3 linked regions of the Canis lupus familiaris genome follow. The protein of the gene in region 3 purifies or fractionates together with the protein of the main gene of each other region. This does not show direct contact. Links are inferred from orthologs where the notes say so. Each region holds a gene or a part of one and is shown on either strand. Other genes may lie near its edges.

Region 1 (4,943 bases), on a different chromosome or scaffold from region 3:
GGCCATGGTCATCAAAGGCCCCTGCACAGAAGTCCTGGTACAGGTCAGGATCCAGTGGTAGGTCCTCATCTGAGAGTGGCTCAGGTGTAGCCGTAGCCTCCGGTGGCTCCTTGACTGCTGATGATGCCACTGCCCCCTCGTCCTCACGGATGCGCCCCAGCTTCTGTGATGGCTGTGGCTGCTGCTGGGTGGGCAGTGGCCTGCGAGGCCGTGGCAGGGACTCTGAGGGCGTCACTGGCGAGAGCTGCAGGGCAGAATCTCAGGACTGGCCCTGACCGCCCTGCCCGCATGCCCCGCCCCGCCCTGGGGGGCTGGACTCACCGAGGAAGGGAAGTACTTGTACGATTCCTGTGCCGGCAGGAGGAAGGCCCAGGTCAGCCCCAGGTGGATGGAGGGTGGCCCTGCCCTAGCCCCACCCACAAGAGCCTAGCCCACCAACTGCCCTGTGTTGCCTCCCAGACACACCTAGTACCCCCGCTTCACATCACCAGGACATGCTCAACCCTGCTCCACCTGCCCTGACGTGCCTGACCGCTGAAAATGGCCGGGGGGGGGGGGGGGGGGTCTGCCCTGCCCACCTGGGGTCGGGGATGCCCCTGCTAGCCCCACACACCTGGTCACGCCCTGTTCACCTACACAGGCCAGGCTCCTTCCCACCTGTCTGTGTGTAGCAAGGCCCCAGCTCACCCGCCCAGCCTGCCCCCTCCTGGCCTCCACGAGCCTTTCCTGGACACACTGACACCCCCAGCCCTGCCCAGCTCTACCCATGCTCACCCGGGCCCGCAGCTGGCACTGACGCAGCCGGCACTTCTGCCGGATCTTGTTGGGGCCCCCAAACTTCTTCATGTCCCGACAAAAGTCACAGTGGCCACAGTCTTCGGTGCGCCGGCAGGCCTCACACTCGCCACACATGCGGGCTGACCGTTTGATCTGCTGCTGCTGCTGCTGCTGCTGCTGCTGCTGGTGATGCTGAGGGGAGAGGCCCAGTACAAAAATCAGGAACGTGTACGGGGCCTGCGGGAGGCTCAGCTTACCTATCCCAGCCCCAGCAGCCACTCACCTGGCTGGGTGTGGCCACCAAGGGCTGTGGAGAGGATTTGTGGGGCGAAGCAGAGCCCCGAGCAAGCATCGCCCCAACCCCTGTCCCTGACCCCGCCCGACGCTGCAGGTCTGGATCCGGGGCAGGCCTCTTGCGCCCTCCACCCTCATCCCGGGGCTCACTGCCGTCTCGCTCATTGCTGTCCCGCTCCCGTGACTTCTTGTGCCGATAACGGATTTCCAGCTTGGGGTCTTTCTCTGTGGGGAAGACAGTGGGGCCAGGGTGGGTGGACCCTGAGGGATTCGGAGGGTTCCTCTTCATCTTGGTCCCCCCCACCTTCTCCCCGTCACTCCTCCGGGGCAGGGCTACCCCGCTGGGGGACGCTCTAGCCAAGCGCCCGTTGGAGTCTCCGCTGCAGCTCACCACAAACCGAGTCCCTCGGCCCGGGACCCACCCTCCTTGAAGGCTTCTCCCTGGAGGCAGGTGGGTGTGCCCCCCGTCCAGGCCGCCCCCTCACCTCGGCACTCCCGACAGTACCACTCCCGGATGGCCTTGGCCATCTTCTCAGTGATCCGGATGCAGTCCCCATGGAACCACTCATTGCAGTTGTCACACCCGCTGCAGAGGATGGGGTGAGTGGTGCAGATGTGAGGGGCCGCACCCATCAGCCTCACCCAACCTCGCCGGCGTCAGCCCGCCCGCCTCTCCCCGGCTCACATCATGAAGCAGTTGATGTCTGGTTTGCGGCAGATGCAGTAGATGGGCGCGTTCTCGCCGTTCTCCGACTTGCTGTCCTCCCCAGCGTCTGGAGGCTCTGGGTCGGAGCCGTCCCCCTCCTGCGGGACGGTGCCTTAGAGCAGCCCCACCACGGCCTCCACAGACCGCGACCGTCTGCCCACGCTTCCCACCGCGGCTCCTCGCGACCCTCCCGGCCCGGCCCACGCCGGCACCCCGACCTCCCGCCCCGCCCCGCTCACGGTCACGGTCGCGGTCACGGTCACTAGCGCCCGGGCAGCCCCGCCCCCTCGCGCCTCCCCGCCGGCCCGACGCCGACTGCCCCGCTCGCTACGGGCCGCCGGGCAGGCTCAGCCCAGACGCCGGGTCCCGCCGCCCCGCAGTCCCCGAGCGGGCCCCCGACGAGCTGCCGAAAGGCGTCCCCACTAACTTCCATCACGGAGCCGCGCAGGGGCCCGTCACAAAACTCCCAGGTGGCTCACACGTCGGAACAAGCTCGGAACCCCGGACCCCGACATTCCACCCGCAGCCCCCTCTGAGGCTCCCCACAGGCCCCCGCCCGAGCGCCCGCGGACGCCCCTGACGGTTCACCACAGACCCCCCGAGTCTGCCCACGGACCCCCCGCCGCCGACCCGCCGACCCCTACCGCCGACCCTCCCCGGCCCCGTACTTACCATCTCTCCGCTCTCGGCGCACCCCTCTGCGACCCCCGCCAGCGACCCGCGAACCCGCACAGACCTCTCGGCGGCGTCCGCGGCCGTTGTAAAGGCGCCCACAACTACTTCCGCTTTGGTCGCGCCTCCCGGGCACCGTACTCTTATTGCGCAGGACTAATGCGTCGGCTCCGCACCAAACAAGTCGATCCGCCGCCTAGAGCCGCCACGGTCTCTCAGGCGCCACCATCTTGACGACCAAGACCGTACGGCGGTCAGGGCCGTAAACTAGTAGGAAACATGGCCGCACCTATGTGGCCGCTTTCGCGAGGGCACCGCCACCTTGTCGGCCGACTCCGTACGGTGGCCGCTCGTACGGACTCAACGTTACAGGAAATATGGCGGCGCCTGTGCGCGGCTTCCACGCAGATGCCGTCATCTTGGAAACTGATTCCGTAAGATGGCCGAGTCCGTACGTTCACGGGCAATGCATGGCAGCGTCCTACCCGCGGTCTCCAGGAGGGCGCCGCCATTTTGGCATCGACTCCGTACGATGGCGGCTTGCCCTGCAGAGAAGTTCAAAGGAAAAGCGGCTGCTCCCGAAACACCACGTGCCTCGAGTTACACTCCGTCTTCCATTCACTCACGTTTCCCTCCCACGTGTGTTAATGGGGCGCCAGCGGACTGTGCCCATGTTCCCCCGTTCTGTGTCTGACGTCATCCTCACCACCCTTTCGCGCCCCGGGTCCTCCTCGAAGGTCCTCAGCCCAGCCCGGCGCCCTGCAGCCTCGGCCCTTGCGGGAGCGCGGTCACCCTCCGAACGGAAGGATGCAGGTGAAGGGCCCGACCCTGGTGACAAGGGGCCGAGCCACAGCAGACCCCGGAACCCGAGACACCGGCTACACCGCGTCTTCCCCTGACCCCGCCACCGCCGGGATGTGGATTCGCCGGGATCCCCGTGACGTCCACTCTGGCTCTCTTCCATCAGACATACTCAATTCTCTCCTATGAAGTTAGTTCTTACAATTTTTTAATTAGACTCCGTACATTTAAAAAAAAAAAAAAAACCGGACAGGTCGGAGCTCTGGACACGTCCTTAAGGCCAGGCTGTAACTCAGGCAACCTGAGCGGTCGGGCGGGTTTTAACGGGTCAGCGCCCCCGCCCCAACCCCCAGCAGATGCGCGAGCCCGGGTCACAGGGAATGTCCGCGTTCAGGGTCACGACTCTATTCAGGTTGGGGGGGCGGGGGGCCTGGGGAAAATGAAACTTGTCACCGGGTGCTGACAGTCGTTCTGGATTTCTTGGCTCTGGACATCATAGTAACGTACTTGCTCCTGATGATTCTCCTGAGGGCGGTGTCGGGTCTGATTTTTGTTTTTGTTTTCACCTTTCCTAGACATTTTTACTCGTGGCCCCTCCACACCGTCACAGACAACCGAAGTCACAGGAGCTGCATCATGGACTGTGTGACCCTCTCTCCTTAAAACGCGTCTTCTTCTTCTTCTTTTTTTTTTTTAGAATTATTTATTTATTTATGATAGTCACAGAGAGAGAGAGAGAGGCAGAGACACAGGCAGAGGGAGAAGCAGGCTCCATGCACCGGGAGCCCGACGTGGGATTCGATCCCGGGTCTCCAGGATCGCGCCCTGGGCCAAAGGCAGGCGCCAAACCGCTGCGCCACCCAGGGATCCCCTAAAGCCCGTCTTTAATCCACAAAGTGGACCTTCAGATCCAGACTTGCCTCCTTTTTCTAGTTAATACTGAATTAATCTTAATTTGATTGTAACTTATTTTAATTAACATAATTCTTCGAATTTAGTTCATTTAATGTATTAAATTAACTTTAGTTAGTATAAATGAATATGCATGTGTTGGTAAGATACTCAGATAAATTTAACCAATAAATTTCAAATAATTCAATTTTAACTTAATTACAATTTGATGTATGAAAGTAAATTTAAGGGAATATAGTTCAAGTTTAACTTAAATTAATTACTCATTTAATTTAACATCACTGACTTGACTTACTAAATTTAATTTTATTTAAAATATTAGTTCAGGGGAATCCCTGGGTGGCTCAGAAGTTTAGCGCCTGCCTTTGGCCCAGGGCACGATCCTGGAGTCCCAGGATCGAGTCCCACATCGGGTTCCCAGCGTGGAGCCTGCTTCTCCCTCTTCCTGTGTCTCTGCCTCTCTCTCTCTCTCTCTCTCTATCATAAATAAATAACTAAATAAATATTTTTTAAAAATAAAAATAAAAAATAAAATATTGATTCAATTCATTCAATTCAATTTATTCAGTTCAGTATTGTGTATCATTTAATTTCAATTTAATATTGTTTACTTTGTTATACTTTAATATGATTTGATTAATCCCATTTGAATTAACATATTTAAATATTAATTTAAATTCATCTAATTCATTAATTTTTTTTTTAAGATTTATTTATTTAGGGCAGCCGGATGGCCCAGCAGTTTGGCACTGCCTTCAGCCTGGGGTATGATCCTGGAGAC
Region 2 (4,818 bases), on a different chromosome or scaffold from region 3:
ATTATGATTCTTATGATCAGGTATGAATAAATAATATTAAAGCCTGCTCTATGAATAATTTGCATCACCCAGAAGTCAATCTTTTATATTCTTTCATGTTGAAAAATCACTCAGTGGATGTTAACAAAACATGGACAAAATGAACACAAAACTAGAAAATATGAAGCATAAAGAACATTGTTTTAGCCATTTTCAAGCTCAAATTCTAACATTAGTACCATTTAGTAGAGCTACTATGCCTTCCGAAAAAGCAGTAACTCTTCTACCAATGTTGGTTTGACTTATACTAGGGGCAATTTTTTTTCCCTTCACATTACCACTTAAGATCATGGACTCGGAATCCCTGGGTGGCGCAGTGGTTTAGTGCCTGCCTTTGGCCCAGGGCGCAATCCTGGAGACCCGGGATCGAATCCCACATCGGGCTCCCAGTGCATGGAGCCTGCTTCTCCCTCTGCCTGTGTCTCTGCCTCTCTCTCTCTCTCTCTCTGTGACTATCATTTAAAAAAAAAAAAAAAGATCATGGACTCTTTAGGGTGTAAGACGTCTAATATTCAGAGAAGTGATCTGACCTCGGTCATATACTTGGTCACAAGGCCAAACTAGAACCCAGGTCACCTAACTACCAGGCCACACTCTTGCCACAGACCAAATGTCACAATTCACTGATAAGAGAAAATTTAAAAGAGCATGCCCTATACTATTATAGCAATGCTAAATTTTCTAATTTGGATAACGTGCTCTGGTTATATAAAAGAATGTCCTTTTGCTTAGGAAATCCATGTTGAAGTGTTTAGAGAGAAGGGGCTTGATACCTCCAATTTATTCTCTAATGGTTCAGAAAAAAATGCACACCTAAATATTTACATAGAGTGATAAAGCAAAAGGGGTAAAATGTAGCCAATTACTAGATGATATGGGAAATTTGAAATACTGTTTTAAGTTTTCTGTAAGTTTGTAATATGTAAAATTGCTACATGAGTAAATAAACTGCACTGTCATAAAATTAACATTTTACTTTTTTTTTTTTTTTTTTTTGGCATTTTACTTTTAACAAGACAGGACTTCCAAGTCATTGTCATTGCTTCCAACGAGTAGATATTATGCCACATTTGAAGACAACTAAGAAATGCTGTCACATGTCACAACCTTTATTTTCTTTGAATGAGAATATACATCTCCATCCTCAGGTTCCAGGAAGAGGTTCTAATCTGTGCACAAGCACTAAACATTAAGTCAGCCAGCTTCAAATTACTTTTAGCTTCAGAATCCAGCAACCCTGACACTCACTGCAGACTTATATGTTACTCTCTTCCAAGCTGATTCAAGTGGCCAGACCTGAACAGAAATCCATCTACTAAATGAATAATGGTCCAGCTAACAATTCTCTCTTTCCCCAGGACCACCACTTAGGCCAGTCTTCCATATACTGCAGGCAGATCCAGAACCAGTTACATAATACTTTTTCACAGCTCTCGTGGGGAAAAAAACTGGGGAGAAGATACAGCTTAAATCAAACCAGCATTACTTTAGATAACCAAATTCACAAATGAAGAGATAAGTTCCAAACGAAAGTTTATAGAAGGCACTGGTTTTAAAACAAAATAAAAGGCAAAAGGAAAGTGGGAGAATAGAAAACCTCAAGGACTCAAAAACTAAGATCTGCAACCAGGTAACAAAATGAAATCTGACAAAACCAGTAGCCACTGAATTAAACCAAATACCTGGAAACCTACTTGGGGAAGGTGGCTGAGGAAAGTAAAATCTAGCCTAAACCAGTTTCTGCTCCAAAGGAGCTCACAATTTAACAAGGAGAGAGCAAAGCAGGTCTACAAAGGGTAGGTGAAGCTGACAAGATGCCCAGAGAAAAGGGCAAAATGTGCTTTTAAGACTTTACAGAGATGGGGTGCAATGGATCTCCAGAGGACTTGGGGCAACACAAATTTCAGACCCTTAAAAAGTGTAATTTTTAAAAAAGTGTCTAAGAGGAAACATGAAATTGTTAGATTAGAATGTATTCTTTGTTTTCATAGCAGGTTCCCACTCAGGTCGGGATGGGACGGCCAAGTTCGTTTTTTTCCTGACAAAAAGGAAAAGTTTCTGATGTTGTTAAAAAGTTAACTACCACTAACTACATTAGTTAACTAAACGTGGGCATCGGGTCTGAGGGAGTAAGAGAATGATTTGGAACAGAAAGGAAAAGACAGGAGGCCCAAAGAGGCACAACAAATAAATCCTGACAGCTAAGAACTACGACCCACGCGGCCTTCCGGCAGAAGGCCGCGGGAAGCTGAGGGGCAGGGGATGGGCGGAGTGCCAGGGCTGAATCGAGGTCACCGAGGAGGGCAGAGCGAGCTGTGACGCTGCCGACTGAGGCAGGAGAGCAGCCTCTGCGGTTCTGCGCGGGGGTCGGAGCTGACCGGCACCTTTGACAGAGTCGGAGGAGCGGAAAAGCTGCCTGCCGGGGCCGAGGTGGGCGGACCGGGCGTTTAAAGGTCAAGGTCAAGGTGGGGTTTGGAGAGCGAGGCAGTAGCGTTTTTCCAGGAGGCCGAAGTCATACGAAATGATAAGGATATTATTTACCACTCTCATTTTTAAAAGAAAAGTAAAGGTCTCCCGGGCGGCTTCGGAGTGGAAGCGGCCCTGACAGCAGCGAGTGCAAAACAGGCCGGGGGAGGGCGGCGGGGCCGGGGGAGGGGACGGACAGCGGGATGAGCGCTGGGCCAAGAGAAGGAGGGAGGGAGGAACGGGCCGACGACACGCTCGGGCTCGGGCCCAGGGCCACCGCCGCACTCACTTGCCCTCCTGGCAGTCGTAGAGCACGATCGAGTCGTCGTCGCTGCTCGAGATGACCGTCTCGCCGTTGGGGCTGAAGTCGAAGCAGTTAATCTTGTCCGAGTTCTCGCGAAACACCTTGGCGACGCGGAAACTCCGCAGCACGCTGTCGGTCAGCTTCATGGCGGCGGCGGCTGGAGGAGGCGGCGGCGGCGGCGGCGGCGGCGCAGGGCTGGGGCGGGGCCCGGCGGCGAGCGGGCGGGCGGACTGACTGCCTGCCGAGGGGCCGACCCGGGCGGGGCGGGCGCCGCGCCGGCGGCGAGCGTAAGGGCAGCCGACAGTCGGCCCACCTCCTCCCCTTCCTCCTCCTGCACGTGCGACGCTCTTCGGGCCAGACTGCGGGGGCTCGCGGACCGTTCCTCCTCACGGTCGCCTCAGGGCCAACCGGCGCGACGCCGGCTCATTGTGTCCGCCATCTTGGGACGACAGGCAGAAGCCGAGGGCGAGGAGCCTTACCGCGGCGCACGCCGGGAAAGGGGGCGGGGCGGAGCGGGGGCGCGAGGCGGGCCGGTGGGGCGGTGACGTCAGTGCGGCCGCCCAGGAGCGGAGTGGAGTGGCGGGGTGCCCGAAGGCGGCGATTCTCTGGCGCGCAGTGGGGCCCGAGGGGCGCGGTTGTCCACCGCCTTCCCGCTGGGCCCGGAGGCAGCTGTGCCTGGGAGCCGTGAGCCTTTGCGCAGGATCGCAGTCCCCCTTAGAGGCTCCCCCTTCCCCAGGATCGCAGCCCCCCCTAGAGGCTCCCCCTTCCGCAGGCCACGGGGAGCAGGTACTGCGGGGGTCGGCTGCGCCACTGGAGGCCTGTTCTGGGGGTGAGTCAGTGGACCTATGGCTGGCGGGCTCTGACTGCTCGTGCACTACAGCGCCAGCATAGTTTCAGTTTCAGGTGGGTTGTTTGGTTTGGTTTGGTTTGGTTTTGTTTTGAGGTGTAATATACAGTAGCCTGCACAAAGTTTAAGTGCTTTTTTTAAAAATTTGGATATATACCTGTGTGACTCCTACCCAGAAGTTTTCTTTAAGCCTTCCTTAAAAACTTTTTAATTGACACATAACATGAAGTGCATAAAGTGAACGGATTTTAAGTGTACAGCTCCACACACTTGTAAGCACTTTTTAAGACATTTATAGCCTCAGAACTCATAGCATCAATTGCATGGAAATTTTTTAAATGGAGTTTTATCTCCTTATTCAACAAAATACAATTTTAAGTTCTCCAGATTTCCTCCTTTTTCGCATCTCTACGTGAACTTTATAAGTGCAACCATCTTTTTTTTCCTAGGTCAGTATTATATATTAAACATTTTTCCATGTTAGTAAACCGAATTGGCGGTGGTGTTCTTAATCGAGGTATCATTTATGTGCAGTAAAAAAAAAAACTGGCCTTTTAGGGACATCTAGGTGGCTCAGCAGTTGAGCGTCTGCCTTGGGCTCAGGGCGTGACCCCAAAGTTCCAGGATAAAGTCCCACATCGGGCTCCCTGCTTGGAGCCTGCTTCTCCCTCTCCCTCTGCCTAGGTCTCTCTGCCTCCCTTTCTCTGTGTCTCTCAAGAATAAATAAATAATCTTAAACAAACAAACAACCCTGACCTTTTAAATGGATAGATTTATAAGTTTTGACACCCATATTGAGTTGTGCAACCACCACCACATTCAAGATATAAAACAGTTACATAACCCTCTTTGTAGTCAATGGGGTTGTCTCAGTGGTTTGTTTAAGGATTCATTGCCTTAAAAGGAAGGAAAATTGGTCTCTAACAAAGGAAAGTGATATCTGATCACAAAAAAAGGTACCAGGCACCTTGGCTTTAACTTTCTATGCAAGGGGTCAAACTCAGTGCAACCTATGGGAGTTCATAGATCTCTAACTTGTGGGCAACTCTTCAAAGACTAATTGCCTGGGGTCTTTAACAATGGAGACAGGCCTGTTTATTTTGCTTCACTAAACTGCAGTGGCTAAAGAGGAAGAAAAAGGAAGAGGAAAGACTTAAACATT
Region 3 (4,377 bases):
ACAAAGCAGCCAGTGGCAGCTTTGGAAACCATGGGTTGAACCATGTCACCCACACCCATGCAGCTCACTGTCACACACAGAACACAAATCTAACCTCAACGCCACAGCCTTCAGTCCCTGATGACCTGTTCTCTGTCTCTGGCCTCAGCTAGACTTTCCTTCCCTTTCTCATGCCACCCAAGATCCTTCCCATTTCAGGGCCTTTGCACATGCTATTCACTCTGTGCATGATTTCCAGACTTAGCGAGTACCTCTCCTGTTTTAACTTTTTAAGTAGGCTCCACATCCAACATGAGGCTCGAACTCACAATCTCAAGAGTCGCATGCTCTACTAATTGAGCCAGCCAGGCACGCTTCCGTTTTAAGTTTTTATCGAAGCCTTTTTCTACTTTTCTGTGGCCTCTCCCAGTTATCCACGTGGCTCATTTCTTTACTCCATTCAGATCTGGCTGAACTGTCACCTCTGACCCCTCTGACTCGCCAATCCCTGACCTCCTTTCCTGCTTCTCCTACTTGAAATGCCATGTTTATATGTTCACTTGATTATTTCCTACCTCCTGTAAAGGATTTTCTTTCATTCCCTACTGTAGACCCAGAACAGTGCCTAAAATCACCCGCACTCAACAGACATTTGCTGAATCTAAAAAGGAAAGAATGAACTTTCTGGAAACACAACTCCACTATCCTCACATCCCTGATGAAAAACTCAGAGGCTCCCACTTTCCATCCTCGCCTCTCTTTTCCAACCTAAGCAGCCTGGTGAGGGGTAACACCCTCTGTGCCAGCCAAATTCCACAACCCCTCCTATAGCCCGGCACCCCAGCTAGGAAATCCCCCTGCCACTGCAGCCTGGGTGGCTCCGGTGTGTCTAGGCGCCTGATGGCAGTACCTGGGTGTCTGCTGGGGGTTCGTCGGTGCTGGCGCGGCTGCTGTTGAGGTATCTGAGCTTGTCCTTCTTGTCGATGGTATAGAAGCCCTCACTGCGGGCACAGCCCGTCACGTGCTCACGGATGCCATCATCCCGTTTCTTTTTCTTAGCTGAAGAGAGGCTGGTGGGTGGGTGTGGGTTAAGGGCCACATGGACATTCTTAGAGAGCCCCTCCCAGTCCTTCCAGAGACCAGTCCCACTGGGCCCAGCCTCTACCCTAAGGCCTAACTCCAGGGGGTTCTTCCCACCCCTGGAACCTAAGCCACCTCCATGAGGCTGCCCACTGGCCAGCTCTGATGGACAAAACTCTGCCAGGGGTACCTAGCTGCATGGCCCTGGCTGTTTCTTAGCCATTTCCTGCCTCAGTTTCCCCATCAGTAAACTGGGGTGATAACAATGCCTCTCTGCATGATTATGTGCTTACAGACTTCCTGCAACAGAGGAAGTGTTCAGTAAATCAGTTTGACATAATGGGGGTGATGACTGCTCCAACTGGATTGTGCTGCCTGTGGTTATTACCAACTATCAGGGCAACATCATGGTTAAGAGCCCAGATTCTGAGGGCAGACTGGCCTGGGTTCAAATCTTAGCTCTGGTACTTCATAGCTGTAGGACTTCAGGCAGGTAGCTTAACTTCCCCGAGTCTCAGTTTCCATATAAGATATGAATAACGGCCCCCTACCTCACTGAGCTGTTGGGAAATTAAATGAGGTGATGAGGGGGGCTAGGAAGAGTGGGCCCTGTCAGCCTCTGCTGCCAGGATGTTGTACAATCAGCCCTGAGACCTCCTAACTCTGGGGCTGAGATGAGCCTGACACAGAAGGTGTGTCTAGAAGTGCCAATGAGGACTCCATATGGAGTCTGGTGTGGTGCCAGCACAGATGCTGCTTGGTAGGAGATGGGCATTTGTGCTAGTGCCTCCACGGATGTCCTGGGAGATCGGGCCCAGAGAGGGGGATGAGGACCCCGCCCTGTCGGCTAGGATATAGGGATGGTAGACCCAGAGGGTGTCATTGAGCCAGTCCATGCCGTTGTCCTGCTGCAGCAGCCGCTCGTAGGTGACACACAGGAAGCGGATGTCCTCCTCGTCGATGCCACCATTCCAGATGTCATACAGAATGGTCATCTCCTCAAACTCGGACCGGGGCCGGAAGAGGGGTTGTGGTGGCGAGAGTTCAGGTGAGGCTGGGGCCACCAGGTCCTCGTGGCGCTTCTTAGGCGGCCGGCGCCAGGGCCCCCGAACCTTGGCCAGGTCCATGAACTCCTCAGTGACATCATCACGCCCGCGAGGGCCTGGAGGGATGGCCTCGGAGGGCCACTGGTTCTCTAGCTCCTTAAAGGGCAGCTTGGTGGGCTCAACAGGGGGTGGAGGTGGGGGTGGAGGAGGCTGGGGGGGCAGAGGTGGTGGGGGTGCTGGGATCCCCGCGTTCCGGAAGTCCAGGGTTACGGCCCGGGGGTCATGGGTACTGGGAAAGACAGGGGTCTGTGGCTGACCTGGCAGGAGGAGGAGGTCCCTGCCAAGGGCAGCCCCCGCCGGTGGCCGGACCAAGGGCCCATCCAAGGAGAGCACAGCCGGCGGGGACCGCCGGGGCCTGCCCGGCTTCCTCTTGATGGGGGGTGGGCAGGGGGTCAGCGGTGCTGGCAGCAGAGGTGGCAGCTGGGCAGGGGCCCGTGTCTGGGCCCGCAGGACAGGTACGGGCAAGGCCAGGGGCAGGGGCAGGGGCAAAGGCAGGGGGAGAGGCAGGCCTGTCTCCAGGAGCACCGGGGAGGCCAGGGGGCCAGACCGCTCATCACGTCGGCCAGCTGGGAGGGGACAGACAGGCAGGAGCAGGGGCCCACCAGGCTCAGGGAAGGTGGGTGTGAAGCTGAAGTCCCGACCAGGTGTCCTCGGGAGACCCCCGCTACTCAAGCTGGGGGACTGCGATGGGTAGGAGAAGGGGCTGCCAGGCACCTGTGGGGAACTCAGGGACAGACCGCTGCTGCCCCCTGACAGTGGGGGCTCCCCACTCGGTGTGGCTGGCACCATCTCTGTGCTCTGTGATTTGGCCAGGCTGCCACAGAGGCCGGGAGTACGCGGGGGCTGCTCCTCCGGAGGGGGCTCCAGAGGGGCAGGTGGATGTGCAGGGTCTGGGGTATCGGGCTCTGGTGGTGGGCTCGGCGGCCGGGGTGGTCGAGGGGGTGGTAGTGGCGGCTGCAGGGGTAAGGAGAGCAGCGGAGGGGGCTCCACTTCCAGGTCATCCTCTGCAAAGAGTTAGGCAAAAACCCGACCGTTACTATTCCATTCAAACAACTCTTGGTGCCTTATTTATGCTGTCCTACTATGTGCTTAATACCTGACCTCATAGTCCTCTGAGCCTCCTGGAGTTGAATACGGGGACTGTCCCCCTATAGCTATACTACTAGTATAGTAGTAGCTATACTACTCAAGGCTTCTCTGTGCCCAGCCCAGGGTCAGGCACACAGTAGATGCTTGAAAATGAAGGTGGAATAAATGAAAGACATAGGAGACATGGTTGCTAGCTAGCATTTGGCATTATGTCCTTAGAATGGTGATGTCCTGTGGATCAAGAAAATGAGCTCTGCTACTGAATAAAATAAATAAAATAAAATAATAAAATAAAATAAAATAAAATGTAAAAATTCAACAAGTCCCTTTTCTGCAGGACTTATCAGAGCCCTTCTCCTAGCATTTATCTTCACCGTCATATAATACATTTTTTTAACTTATCTGCTGTCATTTATCACCCAGCCCCAGAATGTAAGCTCCATGAAGGCAGCTATTTTTGTCTGTTTGGCCCACTGTTGTATTGTCAGTGCCTACAACAATATTCAAGACTGTGGTTCTGTAGACAAATAATACAGAATTAAACAAAATACAACAGGTTTTTTTGCTAAACAACTTATCAGAGGTACAAACTAACCACACATGGTTAAGTTTAAATTAATTAAACTTAAATAATGTTACAAATTTAGTTCCACAGTGGCACTTGCCACATTTCAAGTGCTCTTAGCAACACTGTGTCTAATAGCTATGGTATTGGCCAGGGCAGACAGAGGGCATCTTTATCGTTGCACAAAGTCCCACTGGATGGTATGTTAGAGCTTTTAATACACTTTGTGCAGTGCCACAGAAGTGGTGGTGCCCACAGCCCCTCTTACTTGGTCCAGCATCCCGGAGCCTCCCTCACCTGCCTGTCACTACAATGACCATGCACACCTGCTCTCCCATCCCCCCACTTTTCTGGGAGCATCCCATTGGGACTAATGGGCCAAGGACCAAACCATGAGGGGAATACTGGCACTGAGTACCTGTGACAGCAGTGGTTCCCTTAAGGGACTAGCACCTTCTGGCTAATGTGCCAGGCTCCATGCTGGCACACTGTGTCACCTCACTTTGTCCTCCCACAGGACCCCATTGGGGAGACACTAGCCATTGATCCCACATTACA

Evidence for each region. The genes of interacting proteins can lie anywhere in the genome.
Region 1: the proteins of SETD1B (region 3) and CXXC1 purify together in Homo sapiens (affinity purification with mass spectrometry; 11 studies listed by BioGRID and IntAct, counting the BioPlex papers as one, with this or other methods). This does not show direct contact. The link is inferred for Canis lupus familiaris from reciprocal best matches to the Homo sapiens genes SETD1B and CXXC1.
Region 2: the proteins of SETD1B (region 3) and WDR82 purify together in Homo sapiens (affinity purification with western blotting; 4 studies listed by BioGRID, with this or other methods). This does not show direct contact. The link is inferred for Canis lupus familiaris from reciprocal best matches to the Homo sapiens genes SETD1B and WDR82.

Annotation. Positions count from the first base shown.
Region 1 is NC_049228.1:78,682,599-78,687,541, reverse strand, and holds the start of CXXC1 (CXXC-type zinc finger protein 1), read right to left. Parts: upstream 3,265-4,943; 5' UTR 2,453-3,264; coding exon 2,450-2,452; intron 1,876-2,449; coding exon 1,757-1,875; intron 1,658-1,756; coding exon 1,557-1,657; intron 1,297-1,556; coding exon 1,061-1,296; intron 970-1,060; coding exon 775-969; intron 349-774; coding exon 322-348; intron 245-321; coding exon 1-244. UniProt on the Homo sapiens protein: Transcriptional activator that exhibits a unique DNA binding specificity for CpG unmethylated motifs with a preference for CpGG.
Region 2 is NC_049241.1:37,900,514-37,905,331, reverse strand, and holds the start of WDR82 (WD repeat-containing protein 82), read right to left. Parts: upstream 3,265-4,818; 5' UTR 2,956-3,264; coding exon 2,795-2,955; intron 2,470-2,794; exon of another isoform or gene 2,336-2,469; intron 1-2,335. UniProt on the Homo sapiens protein: Regulatory component of the SET1/COMPASS complex implicated in the tethering of this complex to transcriptional start sites of active genes.
Region 3 is NC_049247.1:7,680,050-7,684,426, forward strand, and holds part of SETD1B (histone-lysine N-methyltransferase SETD1B), read right to left. Parts: intron 3,170-4,377; coding exon 1,916-3,169; intron 1,057-1,915; coding exon 890-1,056; intron 1-889. UniProt on the Homo sapiens protein: Histone methyltransferase that catalyzes methyl group transfer from S-adenosyl-L-methionine to the epsilon-amino group of 'Lys-4' of histone H3 (H3K4) via a non-processive mechanism.